2 linked regions of the Lepisosteus oculatus genome follow. The protein of the gene in region 1 purifies or fractionates together with the protein of each later gene. This does not show direct contact. Links are inferred from orthologs where the notes say so. Each region holds a gene or a part of one and is shown on either strand. Other genes may lie near its edges.

Region 1 (7,695 bases):
TGGGAGAAAATGTGCAAACAACAATATCCCAGTCACTTCACAAAGCTGGCTTGTATGGCACAGTGGAAAAGCCATCTCAGATTCCCAATGGGGTTTGCAATAAAGCATGTAAGTAAGACTGCAAACATGTGGAAAAAGGCTTTGCAGTCAGACAAGACAAAAATGAAACTTTGTGGTCTAAAAGCAAAGTGTTACATATGATGGAAAATCGGCACAGTGCATCACTCAGTCAACACCATTCGTACTGTCAAGCATAGTGGTGGCAGCAGTATGTTATAGTTCTGTTTTTCATCAGCAGAGACTGGAAAGCTTGTCAGGACTGATGGGAACATAGATAGAACAAAGAACTGGCAAATCTTAGACGAAAACTTGCTACCTACTCTAAACTAGGACAGTATTGTCCAGTAGGACAATAATGAAAAACACAAGGTCAAAGCTACACTGGAGGGGCTTAACAGTAAGAAAGTGAAGGTCCCTGAGTGGTCCAGTCAAAGTCCTGACTTGAATCATACTAAGAATCTGTGGAAAGACTTCAAAACAGCAGCCATATCACCCTGCAACTCACAACTGGCAACCCACTGAAGCTAAGCAGGTGTGAGCCTGGTCAGTACCTGGATGGGAGACCTCCTGGGAAAACCTAAGGTTGCTGCTGGAAGAGGTGTTAGTGGGGCCAGCAGGGGGTGCTCACCCTGCGGCTCACGTGGGTCCTAATGCCCCAGTGTAGTGACGGGGACACTATACTGTAAACAGGTGCCGTCCTTCGGCTGAGATGTAAAACCGAGGTCCTGACTCTCTGTGCTCATTAAAAATCCCAGGGTGTTTCTCGAAAAGAGTAGGGGTGTAACCCCGGCATCCTGGCCAAATTTCCCCATCGGCTGTTATCAATCATGGCCTCCTAACAATCCCCCTCTGTGAATTGGCTTCATTACTCTGCTCTCCTCCCCACTGATAGCTGATGTGTGGTGAGCGTTCTGGTGCACTATGGCTGCCGTCGCATCATCCAGGTGGATGCTGCACATTGGTGGTGGTGGTGGAGGGGAGTCCCCATTACCTGTAAAGCGCTTTGAGTGGAGTGTCCAGAAAAAGCGCTATATAAGTGTAAGCAATTATTATTATTATTATTATTAAAACTACTGTCCATAAGCAATCCTCAAGTAACTTGAGAGTGTTTGAGCCAACAGGAAAATTACAGCAGGCCAGTTTGAAAAGTTGATATAGACTTAGACCAAAAAACTTGCAGCTATAATTGTAGACAAACCCACCTAATATTTAATTCACAGATCTGAATACTTATGCAATCAGCAGATTTTTCTCTTTAGGATTTGCTGATATTGGCTGTAATCTACTGTATCTAAATGTTAAATAATAATAATTCCTAACACTTTCATAGCACTTTTCTGGAAACTCCTCAAAGCGCTTTACAGGTAATGGGGACTCCCCTCCACCACCACCAATGTGCTGCCCCACCTGGATGATGCAACCACAGCCATAGTGCACCAGTATGCTCAGCACACATCAGCTATCAGTGGGGAGGAGAACAGAGCAATGAAGCCAATTCATAGATGGGGATTATTAGGAGGCCATGATTGGAAATTTGGCCAGGACGCTGGGGTTCCACCCCTACTCTTTTCAAGAAACGCCCAGGAATATTTAATGGCGTTCTGCTGCAGTATGGTACAGAGTCCCCATTACCTGTGAAGCGCTTTGAGTGGAGTGTCTAGAAGTGAGTAACCAATTATTATTGTAACGCAACGGGGGCTCAGGCGGGCGCCCTTGCCGCATCTGGTCGGCCCCTGCACCGTCCGGGGCTCGAACCCGACTGGAGGTTCGAACCCGGGACTTCCGCGTCTCTCTGCAGCGACCTAGCCCCGTGAGCTAAAGAGAGATCTCTCTACAGCCCAGTAGATGTAGTCCTGCTATCACAGGGAAGGGCGGTGACGTCACCCGCTCTGGTACGCCGGCTCTTACACACAGTGCTTGTCGGCCGTAAGCGTTACACTCTCCCCTGCTTAAATCGCCGTCCCCGGCGAAGGGCTATCCCATCCCACTTCTGACACCACGGCAAGGGCGCCCACCTGAGCCCCCGTTGCGTTACATTGGTGTCTGTAGAGTGTAACGCTTACGGCCGACAGGTACTGTGTAAGAGCCGGCGTACCAGAGCAGGTGACATCACCGCCCTTCCCTGTGATAGCAGGACTACAGCTACTGGGCTGTAGAGAGATCTCTCTTTAGCTCACGGGGCTAGGTCGCTGCAGAGAGACGCGGAAGTCCCGGGTTCGAGCCTCCAGTCGGGATGGGGCCGACCAGATGCGGCAAGGGCGCCCGCCTGAGCCCCCGTTGCGTTACATTGGTGTCAGAAGCGGGGTGGGATAGCCCTTCGCCGGGGACGGCGATTTAAGCGGGGGAGAGTGTAACGCTTACGGCCGACAGGTACTGTGTAAGAGCTGGCGTACCAGAGCAGGTGACGTCACCGCCCTTCCCTGTGATAGCAGGACTACAGCTACTGGGCTGTGGAGAGATCTCTCTTTAGCTCACGGGGCTAGGTCGCTGCAGAGAGACGCGGAAGTCCCGGGTTCGAGCCCCGGACGGTGGAGGGGCCGACCAGATGCGGCAAGGGTGCCCGCCTGAGCCCCCGTTGCGTTACATTATTATTATTAGCACCAATGGCAGATCAGACCAGCACTATTAAAAACTGTGAATAACAGTGCCTTGCTTAAGCAGAAGAAGGCATTCCAAATACAGAGGAACAAGTAAAAGGTTTATTCCATGCTGAAAAAAAGAAGAAAGAGAACACAACGTTTCGGCCGTGGAGCCTTCTTCAGGTGTGAGAGAGACAGGGCAGTAGGCAAAGGTAAAGTAGCGGGAGAACAAAGGTTGGGAGGGAGGAGGAGTGAGAGGCGGGAGCAGGGGACAGAAAGAGAGGCCAATCAAGAGGTGTGAAGTCAGAATGGGTGCAGAGAGGTGTGAAATGAAGCTTCCAATGAATGGAGAAAATTTAAAAGAACAGTAATCTGTCGTTAAGGGAAGGGAGAATGTGTGATCCTAACTGCAGAATAATTTTAGTTTCGGTGGTCTTTCTGATGTATGAGTTCGGAAAACCGTCTTTGAGAACACAGACGGAGAGATTAGTGTGGTCGTGGCTGTCAGAGGTGAAATGAGAAACAATGGGCTTGGAGAGATCTTTAATCTTCACAGCCCTGACGTGTTCTCTGAAGCGGTCTCTGAGTCTCCTTCCTGTTTCTCCAATGTAGATGGCTGGGCATTTACTGCAAGAGATACAGTAAATAAGGTTGCTGGAGGTACAAGATGCTGTCTGGGTGATCCGGAATTGTCCTGAGGGGCCTTGAATGAGTGTGGTGGTGGCTGTGTACTTGCAGGTGATACAGCGAGCTATCTGTTCCAAATACAGATACAACTACATTAATCAAGCCCTACTCCTCCTATGACTGTTGCCTTCAGTAATGATGCAGCCACATGGAAAAGTGCACGAGTCACATTGTGTATACTGGACAGAGCCGAGACAAGCTGGTTGCCAGAATCGCAGTAAGAGGTCTGTGGTTTTGAAGAGAAAATGTGAACAAGGTGGAATGCAACTCCTATCCAAGAAGCATTTTTGTTTTCATTTTCTAGAATGAGGCAGTTGTTCATTGTAAGCTGTGTTGTAGAAAATGAAATACCTTAGATTCCTAAAATGTGATGTAGGATTTATTTTGTTTTGCTTACTTCTGTTTGAAAGTAAGAGGAGGGAAGTGTGACGTCGGTTGAGATAAAGAACAGAATTCACCGAGCAAAGGAAATAGCTCAGACGTTTTACAGTGACATTTCCCAGAAATTACCCCATTCCCACTGGCAACTCTCAAAGAAATCAAAATATTTTTTTTTGAGTAAAGAATTATTTACACTATTTGATTTTTATATTGGACTGAGTATTCTTTTTGACTGCCTCTTTTATAACCCAAGAAAGTGTCAAGTTATTTCCATTACAAAAGATCTCATGTGGTTTCACATACAGTATTCAATTGAATATACGTTTCTATAGAAATAAGAACATTGGCAGTTATTTACAATGTTAAACTGGAAAAACCACCTTAGTTTTAAGTCATATGCAAAAATACAGAGTTCATCTGGGGGTTTGTACGAGAGAACCTTAAAAAATATTTTAAAATATACCAAAATTAAAAAAAAGATCAACCATTATATTCTCAAAAATATACTAAAAGGGATGTAAATAGAAACAAAAATGATTCGAGAACAGATATAACTTATCAACAGTGGATATAAATGCAAATCAAAATATTACATTTCTAAATTAGATTCTAGGGCACCAGATAAATTCAAATTTGTTTGTGTACTTCTCTTAATTGTGATGATTTTAGCTTTAATTGCTGCTTCAAACTAGAACAGGTCGTTAATGTTAACATTTATTGTGATTGAAATAAAACCTTTTCCAACCTTTTTCGATTATGAAATGAGTTTTAGGTTATATATAGCCATTCAAGTAAGATTAAACGTGGGTCCTCTTTTTTCGTCGAACCTGCTAGAGCTAATTTTTCCTAGTGGAAAAAGCAGCAGCGCTGCAGCGAAAGTGCTGATCGTGTGTAGGCCCTTTGTTTACTTGTTTCCTGAGATTTCATCATTCTGTCCCTGCTTCACTACTACCGGTCTTTTCGGTCCATGCGTTTGAGAGCTGCACCCGCCCTGCTGAGGTCCTGCATCGAGACTGCTGCTCTCTTTGTAGCACCCAGGGCACTGTCAGCGCCGCATCGGCTCCACCGTCCGCACGAACACAGGCTCTTCTCTTTGTCGGCCTGCTTGTTGAAGAAAAACAAGGAAAGCCTTTGGCAACAGCTTGCAAGAGGAAGAAGTATGGACGGCAATATCGAAGAGGTGCTGGCTCCTCTGAGACAGGCAGTGAAAGAGCAGGTGGGACAATAATGAACGGTTAAGTTCCGGTATTCGGGCTGCTATTATTTGTCATAATTGATGCTGTTACGGCCTATTAACTGTACTGCCAAATTAAGTTTTAAACGAGAGATCACAACTCCTGGACATGTTGATTAATATATATATATGTGTGGAACGTCGAATATTAATGTTACTTTGACATTTGACCTCCCTCGATGCATTGTCAGGTGAATCTTTAATGTGGACAATAAAAGCATCAGTTTCCTGATTGAGTCAGTAATCTCGATGTTCTTTAAAATCACCAATCAATACAACCCAAGACGAAGGGCATGTAAAACGTATATAAAGACATGCAGTACACGTTAGCATGGCTTAAAGATCTGAACCATCTCATTTTGCATTATTTTTTGAAAATATCAGTTCAGCGGCATACCAGATCCTGACTCCCTGACTTTCTTTCAGATGTTCTGGAATGTGCGGTTGTGATTTTTTTTTGTTATACTTGAAATTACAGTTTAGTTATGCTTGTTAAGTATTATTGGAAACCCCTTTATTTCGCAGTTTTGGATTGCTGGTGTGCCCGCGTTATTAAATTGGCGCACCTGTGTAAGAGTCAAGTGTGTACAGGTAATATACACTGTATGTTGCGCTCAAATAGTCTAATCAGCAATGCAGAGGCTCTACAGTGCCACGTTTAAGCCTCCATCAGCATCACGAAGTCAGAGGGGAGGAGTGAATATGTTGGCGATTCCTGTCTTTTCATAGTTGTTCATGGCAGGATTAAATCTTTGTGGCCCTGTAGTACGTACAGCGGCGTAGTTCGGTTTTTTGTCCCCATTGTTGAAAGGAAATCTTTAAAAAGATCTTTCTAGTGAGCAAAAAGTGGCGAGTAGCTTAAGTCCCAATTTGATCAGCTTTATCAGTTTTGGTACTGATTTATTTGTCGCCGTTAAGAAAAGTGTCTTGCATTATCTAAGAACATATCACGGTGTAATTGCAGTCGGCTTTTGACAATGTCACAGTTATAAGACATGAACGTTTTCTCGCATGGGAATGAATGTCGCGCATGTCATAAATGCTTTGAATACTTAAAGAAACCCCCCAAAAAATTCTTTGAACGTTTAAATCACAATTTCTGCCTTTTGGAGGTGCGGTCTCTGCCTCTGTAATACCGTATTTACTGTTTCTGCGCGATAAAAAATAACAGCAGTTGTAATGTGAAATAAACTTTACACCTATGCAAATGAAGTCCCCACGGGCTTGGTGCCTGTTTATGATGCTCTATAACTAAGCGAGCAGGCAGGAAAACCATTAGTCCTTAGTCATTGGTGATCCAACTTGAGGTCATAACTTGAGATCCTAGCAATGATTTTAAAATGAAAACAAAATGTATTTAAAATGCATTGATCATTGGAAAAAATATTGAAAATATGATCAATTTCATTGCATTATTTAAAAGCAATCTAATACTACTAAAAGCGGTCTAATACTACTAGAATTATTACATCAGAACAAAAGTGTTGGTTGCACCGAATGCTTTACTCTGAAAAACAGAACACTATAAAACCCTGCCATTGTAAATCTGCACTGATTTTAGATCCTTTTTTTTTTAATTATGGCAGTATCTCAAAATTTTTATAATGTCTATGTAGTTTCACTAAATTTTACCTTTTTAAAGGTTGGGATGTTGTTTATGTTCTCTTCCCAGGGTGACTTGGTGCGCAGACTGAAGAGTGAGAATGCCCCTGATGTGGACATTAGCAAAGCCGTGGCAGAGTTGAAGGCCCGTAAGAGGATACTGGAGGCTAAGGTACAGATTTCTGCCTTCATACTGTATGTTAAGGGCAGTTGTTTGTCATGCAGTTGGCACAGGTGTGTTTTTTTGCACCACTGTTTTGGTGGGTTTTTTTAGTCTCAAAGTCCTGACTGGTTTTATAGTTTTTAAGGGGAGTGTTTGAGTTTATTGCAAGGTTCCAGTATTAGCGCAGTAGATATTGGTTTTATTGCCAAGAAAATAAAACACATTAATAAATTTGCAATGGATGAATGCCAAAAAAGAACTTATTACCACTAATATCTGAGTTAATCCCTGTTTTCCTATCTCTTATTGCTGTACTGGAAAAATAAATTGCTACTCCAGAGATCACAGAAGTCGTATGCAGATAGGCTTTATTTACAAGCATGCAAGAGGGATTTGCCTCAGAAACCTCCCATGACTGTAGCAGGAATTTTATACAGTAAAAGTTTTTATATACATCACTGATGTTGAATCCATGTAAGGAAGTTCCCCTTTTGGGTGAGTTTTATATCCCTTTTTCTGTTCAGTGGTAAAACATTTTTTTATAACCACAAGGGCAATTGTGGCAAAACAGTTTTAGGGAAAATGCATAATTTGCAAAACAACTCAAATTTTAAAAAATGTACTTGTACTGGCTTAGTTGGCATACAACTTAATTCCCCTCGATTAACCCACAAGACATTGTCTTTATGATGTTAATTCCACACCTTTGGTGCAAGTATCCATTTTTTTCCATAATCCCAGAACATTAAGAATGTGATTCTTCCCCTCTTGGATAGCTCATTTATTGATGCTATCTTCAGGGAAATCAGTAAAACTTAACAGTTCATTCTGATCTGCCCTTTAAAGGCCTAGATACCACCAGTTTGCCCACAACATTCATGCCTACTGTAATTCTCTTTTATACCTAAATTGCAGAACTTGGTACATTATCAGTATTGGTAATGTTTTATCTTGCCACATCCACAAACTTTTGTGCCATCATATTGCAT
Region 2 (7,862 bases), on another chromosome or scaffold:
GGAGTGGAAGGTGATGAAGCCTGACATCTATGCAGCCATCATGGATTTCTTCAGCTCAGGGCTGCCAGTGGTCAATGAGGACACCCCTCGTGCAGATACAGGTACCTGTCCCCTTGGAGAAGGTACTTCTGGTATTAAAAAGACCAGCAGGCAATAAATGCTGTTTCCCAGCAATACTCCCTAATAACCTGACCTGATATCAAACTAATATACTGCCATGTTGCTCACACTAGTTACCCAGATGTACCCTCGGATTTTCTACTACTTTTGCCAAACAGAAATTCTAATATCCAGAATAAGTCCACACTGTGAGATCTGTAACTATTGAACATCCTCTTTCTTTGCTTTTGTAATTAACGGCATGAAGGGTTATGGCTATTTCACTGACATTTCTGGTTGTGCCTGGTTAGTTTTGCTCCCCGCCTGCACCTGTATCCCTCATTAAAGGGAGACAAAAGGTGGAATTTTGATGAGAAAATCACCAGTGTTTAGGCTGATGCCCTTTCTAGTAGAGCTGCTACAGGGCCCCACATAAAATTCAGATTTCAAATGTGTAAATTGCACAAGAGAACAATCAATCTCATGAATCTAACATTGTTTGAATGCCTGTTTTTTTTTTCTCGGTGATTCTCGTCTCTGCAGCACCCTCAGAAGAGGATGATGAAGTTGTCTCCATGATCAAAGAGCTTTTGGACACCCGCATCAGGTTCTGCCTAATTAACAGTACTGTTTTGGTGGTTGTTAATAAACTACAATGTGTATAGGAACAAGAAAAGTTTTATTCCATGCCAAAAAGGGAAGAAAGGAACCACAGCGTTTCAGCTGTGGAGCCTTCTTCGGTTGTGTCACCATGCTCTTTTCAGCATGGAATAAACCTTGACTTGTTCGTTTGCAGCCCATGCATGCTGTCACAGATACCTACTTGAAATCCAATGTGTATATTCAAACTTCAATTCATTCTGCCTTCCTTGGACAGTTTGTGCCTTTGTTTTAATTGTGCCTCCATTTCACAGCCTTTCACAGTTGATTAATCGTCTTGTGTACTTGAATCCACAGAATCAGTCAGAAACAACGCGAGACTCTGTAAACTCTGCTGTACGTTGAAGTGGCTCTTGCCGTTTCTGATTCTGTTCTTTTTTTCTCTTCTTTTCCTCCATTCCCAGGCCTACAGTTCAGGAAGACGGCGGCGATGTTCTTTACCGGGGCTTTGAGGACGGGATCGTGAAGCTCAAACTGCAGGGCTCCTGCACCAGCTGCCCCAGCTCGGTCATCACTCTTCGTAGTGGTATCCAGAACATGCTGCAGTTCTACATCCCAGAGGTGGAGGGAGTGGAGCAGGTAGGCACCGGGACAAACACAGGCACTGAAAGTAACATGATGCACCCCCAATGTTCATGTTTAGGCACAGACACTGAAATGGAAACATGCACATACACATGATTAATGATACAGATGTATGTTTTGTGGTCAAAAATAAAAAAAAACAAACAATTGAAAGTCTTTTATTAAGGTGTTGGGGATCATGCACCAGTATGGCCTTTATGTGCCATGACATAGAATCTACCAGTGTCTAGAGTTCTATAAGACGGATGCAGCACTGTTCTTCCATGAGAAAGTCAGTCAAGTCATACCTGGTTAATAGAAGAAAATTCTCTCTCAAGCACCATTGCAGAATAAATGCTCGATTGGCTTCAGATCTGGTGAACTGAGAAGGCCATGACATCGAGATAGTAGTGTCATGCTCGGCTGTAGAGTTCTTCAGCTTGGCCCCAGGTGTGCCATCATTCGTTGTTCAAGAACATAATAAAGGATGATTCATCTGTCCATATCGCATTTCTCCTGCTACTCTGTAGACCATTGCCTGTGCTATTTGCACAACTGGACTTTCAAACATGCATTGCAATGAGTGGTTTGTGTACTGCAAGCCGTATAAATGGCTGACCCTGTGCTCTGACCCCCAGCTTCTCTCCCTGTCTGTGTTTCATGGAGAGCAAGCTGGGGTATGCAAAAATACAAATTCCTAATACAAGAAATTGTATATGGCCAATAAAGTGATCTTAAACCATTTCTTCACTAGCAACCAGTGAATAACAAAGGCAGTGTCAGGCAATGACTGTAATTCATCTTTTTTTGTTGTTGCAGGTAAAAGATGAGGAGGAAGAAATGGAACAGGGGACCAAGACCTGAGAATGAGTGTATCAGGCCCTGGCTAAGATGTGTGCATTGCTACTTTCCCCCTCAACCCTTTCTGTTGAATCAAGCAGGTTCAGGAACTAGTCCACCATCCCAGTGTTTTAATGTAGCTAATTTAAGACGGAGTCTGTAGTTCTGGGAAGTGCGTATGTATAGCCAGAATCACACTAAGTTTTAAGGAAAAAAAAATCCATACTCCACCATGGAGACGTTAGGTCACTGAGTGACAGACAGTGTGTGCTAGAAAGAGCTATAGCTTACCTACAGCCCCCAACTCTGTGCTGCATTATTTTTGTGTCCGAAGAACCAGGCTTTTGAAAGTTTTTTTTAATCTTTAGGTTGAAAGTGTTCATTAGATCTCCTTGCATGCTTTATAAATTGAGACTTGATATTTATTATGGAAATGATTGCAAGGAAAGCAGGCCTAAATTGTGCCAATATTCTTGGCTGCAGTGATTCACATGCCAGGACTCCTGCCCAAAATGCTTTTAAATGGCTTATTCTGATATTTTCCAGTTTTTTTCAAATTAAGTTAAAATAAGTAAAAATATTATAATATGTATTTAAAATATACTGTTTCTTCATTTATATCAAATGGTCTTGGTATGTTATTGGGAAACAGTTGTGTAAATACTATTTCTGTTAAAGATAAGAATTTGCTGATTAGATACTTGAAATTGTCACTTTTATTAACTTATATTCTCAGAATGTGGAGTTATTTTGTATATGTGAAATGCTTCGTTTCATGACCAGTACCAGTTATTTCACATCAGAACAGAGAAGAAATGTGTCCGATAAAAGTTTTTAATGAGAATTGTTACCTGTGAATTCAGACTAAAAGTCTATGGGATTGTTAATATGGTTTTAAACTGATTTGCCCCTTTATGCAAGACTGTTTTGTGTAAGATGTTGTGTAAGAAACACTGAAATTGTAGGGATATTTCTTGAATTGGAAGTGTAACAAGAAAGAAAAGTGGCATTTGGGATCTCATTGTCTCATTTTTCTACAGAGAAATGTATTTGCGTTTCCTCAACAAGATCGCCTATATTTAGCAATACAAATGCATGCGTGTTTTAGTGTTACACGTGATACCTCAAGTAAAAAGCACATCACTGAAAGAAAACTCCAAAAGAACATTAAGTGTGAACAAATGTTAGATCATTTCTTACCACCTAGTTTCTGTAAAATGTTTGCCTTTATTTTCATTACATTTTCATTTGCCAGTCCATGTTTTTAGAGGAAGGTAGAATGGTGACACTGGATGTTGGAACATGAGGTTACAAACAAGGAGACTGCACTGCTGAGATGGGCGTTTCCATACATGAGAATCCTCGGAGAACAGGTCTCTCACTGGAGAAATATTTGGTTGATTCCATGCTGGAAAGAGAAAAAAGGAAACAATGTTTCGGCTGTGGAGCTTTCTCTGGGTTTAAGAAAGATAAGGCAGTCAGTAAAGATAATATAGCCTGGGAAAACAAAAGCCAGGAGAGAGGAGGAGGCAGGAGCAGGGGAGAGGCAGAGTGGCCGATCATTTGGTGCGAGGGCGAGAGAGGGGTGAGACGAAACCCCTTACACCCAGAGAAGGCTCCACAGCCGAAACATTGTTTTCTTCTCTTTTCAGCATGGAATAAACCTATTACTTGTTCCTTCGCAGCCTACGCCTGCTGACGCAGCTACCCACCTGGATAAATATTTGTACGCACAGACGAATCCTTTGACTAATCCTTTTTTTTTTCACTTTATAATCCAAGCAGTTTGAAATTGCCTAACATGACTCCATGCCACACCGCAGGCCTGTGCTGAAATCTCCCACGTCTCTTTTGTGAACCACAATTTCAGATTTTGCATATATGGTAGATTCCAAATGAATAGGGATTATGAACTAAAAACAACTAATTGTAAAGTGAAAAAAATAAAGAATTAAGATGCCTCGGAACCGTTCGTGAAATCGTATGATATAAAGGAACAAGTAAAGGTTTATTCCATGCTGAAAAGAGAAGAAATGTTTCGGCTGTGGATCCTTTTTCGGGTGTGATACAAAGGCAATGCCACAGAAGTAAGAGAACACATTTATACAGCTGCACTCGTAAAACACGCATATAACTGGAAACATGACTGACGTATTTAAAAAATCAACCCAGAGAACTACTTTAGGACCAGCAATGAAACTAAGCCAAAGGAGCACACGCAGAAAAAGTACATTTAGGATTAAAATCAGGGATCACTTCACAATTCGGCGCTTGATCGGAGTGGAGTCTGGGATAAACTACCCAGCCATGTTGTAATAGGTTACGCATGTGTCTGAGAAAAGGCTTTAAGCACGTACACGTCTGTTTTTGATGTGACGACATCCTGCAGTCCAGGGCATCTCTGCTATAACGAGAGACCTGAAATTGACATCTTGCCTAGTGGGTGCTCCTTGTCTCTCCTGTGAGCTTGTAGGACCCTCCTTCGCCGACCTCCCTTTCTCTCCTTCGTAGAGGCGGATCTGCGCATCCTGCTGCCACGTCTAAACTGCTGTCGTCGCCAGGTAACGGGAGTGACAGCATTTGAACGAATCGGACAGGGCCATGTAGGTGGTTACCTGGATGGTGACCAATGGGATTAGAGATGAGGCGGGGCTTGTACAACAAGGCTTCTGAGGAGGAACTAGAATCGCCTTGGCAGCCAAGACGTAGACATGTGTGGTGAGTGAAATCTGCCTACTATTAGCGGTATATCTTTATTACTTTTATATTGAATTTTTAAATAATATTCTAGGCAGACGAGATACAACGTGCGAAGGATTACGTGTTCTGCTTCGATAGGAGTATGAAGTTACCTCTGCGGTCTTTGTACTGTATTGTCCCATAGGCATATTAAAATATCACCCTGCTTCACCCGAACAGTGTGGTTTAGATTATTGTGATCGATCACATCATTTGCGCGTCAAGTCGGATATGTTCCTGCCTTTGCTTGACGGATATAGGCTATAAAGAAATATATTGTTAGGAAAACATGGCCTGAGTACAACATCCCTACCCTCGAATGATTAATACCTGTAACAATTCCGGAGCGGCACAGGTAGTAGGATTAGAATTATGCATCATATTACTACACGGGAAAACCCGTAAGTATTTACACTTATAGTTTCTTTTACGACACTTTTTTTAACTAAATACCCACTGTTTGTGGGTGTAGTCGATAGACACTTGGCTACTACCTTGTAGTACAAGTTGGAGTATCAGTCGCTGCTGTTTCATTTTCCAGCACGTAAATCTTTCGTTTTAATGTTCCTTTTCTGCAAACATGCTCTCGGTCAGCATGTGCAGAAGGCTGGTTAACTATCTGGGCGGAACTGGGCTGTGAGGGCCTTAAGGGAAAATCTTCTCTTTTAGAGAAGTGTTTATCTGACAGACTGTAGCAGAGCGCACGATTTTTGTTTCCAAAGGATGAGTGAGATTGTGCAGGGAGACGTACTGTAGGAACTGCTGGCGGCGGTGGGTCACATAGCATTTTAGCCTTTACACAGCAACAAAATGTGATTTTAAAACGCTGGATTCTATCGCCTTAATTTTCATTTTTCTTGCTTTTGGATACCATTGCCAGAGATGCAAATAAGAGTAACAATCCATAGCAGTCTGGCTCATTGTTGTTCATATTAATTACTGGCATGTTTACTGCTTTTTCTGATGATGAAGAAAAACATCTGGATAACTGTTGTCCGTCTTAATATAAACTCAATGCTTTTGGAAGTTAATTGTCTAGACTCCACATTACATTAAAGCGGAAATGGCTATGGTATAATATGAGTCTTATGTCTCTGTTGACATTAACACCTTGACATTGTTACCATTACTTAGAAATAATCTGAATGCCATTCATAATGATATTTCTTCTCATCAATGTCCATTTTGAATTGGGTTGGGAAGGTGGAAGGTATTTCACTTTTGAGACTATTAAGCACACTATTAATTAACTGAGAATTATTTCAGAAGCTTCAACATTCTGTACTTTTTTGCACAATACAAGCATTTTAGAAATGTAAAAGCACACCTGAAATTACAGTCCTGCTGTAACTGAAAGCAGTCATTTTACACTATCAGACATTTTCTCAGTTGCGATCTGGATGTTTTACACAACTGGCTGATTGCAGATATATTTGTCTTCTTTAAGGTGGTGTGTTTTAGAAATCTTCAGGACAGTTACACAGCAGGTCTGAACTCAGATGACACTCATTGCCCTTGTGAATCCAGTAGAGTCCTGGGCAGAGTCCTGCTTGTCTAGGATTGAGCAAAACCTACTGCTTGGTTTATTTGTCTGTGTGCTGTGGTGAGAAATAGGTTCTGCAGTGGCAACCCCTACCACCATTCTTTCTCTGATGAGTGATTACATCCAGTGCTAAACCAAGCTGTTGTTCCCATATCTCCATTGTGGGCAATGAAGCAGAAAATAGAGCTGAAATAAAGTTATGTGTTATTGTTTTATACTTATATACTTTTTGTTCTTGATCTTAAAACGCCTAACATGAAAAACTGAAGCCGTGTAATATAGTACTTCATTCTTTGAATTTTGTCTAGCTTAAAGGCAACCAAAAACTGAAATAACAATCCTCATGCTAGAGAAACAGACAGCAGTTTTAAACATGCCTAGTTTAGTAGAATCAGTGGTAGGATAATTTCCTCTCATACTTTGAGAAACTAGTTTATTACTGCAGTAGCTGGTTTTTAGGATTAGCAGTATATTGTCATAACAGAAACAGGAAATGAACCTCTTCGTTCTATTCAATAACCTACTCCTTAAGGATAACGACAAAGCCCTCAGGCAGTTTCTTGACTTCATCCCACTGTGTTACTAGTTTCCGTGTACCTGTGGGACGAGTAGTGCTATATCCAAAACACTCGTTTCTTGTTGTTTAGATTAAAGATCCCAAGAATGACAATTCTCTACTGGGTCTTGCTAAAAAAACACAGTTACTTTAGAATGTACCAAGACAAGCCAGCTCCACCTTGTATCGAAACAGTCCACTATCACATATAGCTGATGATTTGATCGGGTTCCTGGGTGATTTTGTAAAGCTCCTCTTTTCACATAACGTGGCTTTTTGTACTTTTGCAAACTGAACCCGTTTGCCAGCAAAGAAATCAGTCAATGTTGCATAGGTTATAAACAAGAAGGAGGGTGACGGTTATTCATGAAAGCAGAAGCATAGAAAGCACATGACCTGCTGTGTATAATCATAAGGAGTTTTATAAATGGACAAAAACAACTTGATGGAGGCATCCGTGCATGGGAATGGGGTGCTTGTGTTTTTTGGGATGCTCAGGAAGACCTTTGGACATATTCATCACTTTATCACAAATTTTGTAAGGCACTTCTGCTTTTCCAGTCATCACAATTGATATCTTATAATGCAGGTAGAAACACTTAATCCTTAGGGCATGTACTGTACAGTTACTCTCTTACAAGTGATGTGTTCTGAGTATTAGTATCCTGATAGAAAATCAGGTGTTATTTTGAGCTAGAGAATGTCCCTCTCATTTTCTCTCTCCCACTCTTCATCCCCCTCCTTTAAAGTTTCTCACTACAAAGGATAGCCTTGTTTTTAGAAACCTCACCCTCAGCCAGACCATCATAGTCCTATAGTCCAGGAGTCTCAGTGCCCAGCTGTTCTCAATGGAGGCCTTGT

The links. The genes of interacting proteins can lie anywhere in the genome.
Region 2: the proteins of gars1 (region 1) and gfpt1 fractionate together in Homo sapiens (co-fractionation; 3 studies listed by BioGRID, with this or other methods). This does not show direct contact. The link is inferred for Lepisosteus oculatus from reciprocal best matches to the Homo sapiens genes GARS1 and GFPT1.

What each region holds. Positions count from the first base shown.
Region 1 is NC_090701.1:34,440,892-34,448,586, reverse strand, and holds the start of gars1 (glycine--tRNA ligase), read left to right. Parts: upstream 1-4,626; 5' UTR 4,627-4,674; coding exon 4,675-4,923; intron 4,924-6,613; coding exon 6,614-6,715; intron 6,716-7,695. UniProt on the Homo sapiens protein: Catalyzes the ATP-dependent ligation of glycine to the 3'-end of its cognate tRNA, via the formation of an aminoacyl-adenylate intermediate (Gly-AMP).
Region 2 is NC_090697.1:72,531,682-72,539,543, reverse strand, and holds the start of gfpt1 (glutamine--fructose-6-phosphate aminotransferase [isomerizing] 1), read left to right. Parts: upstream 1-4,756; 5' UTR 4,757-4,874; coding exon 4,875-4,881; intron 4,882-7,862. Other genes in the region: NFU1 iron-sulfur cluster scaffold homolog, mitochondrial, read left to right, coding at 1-101, 643-706, 1,164-1,338, 2,143-2,187.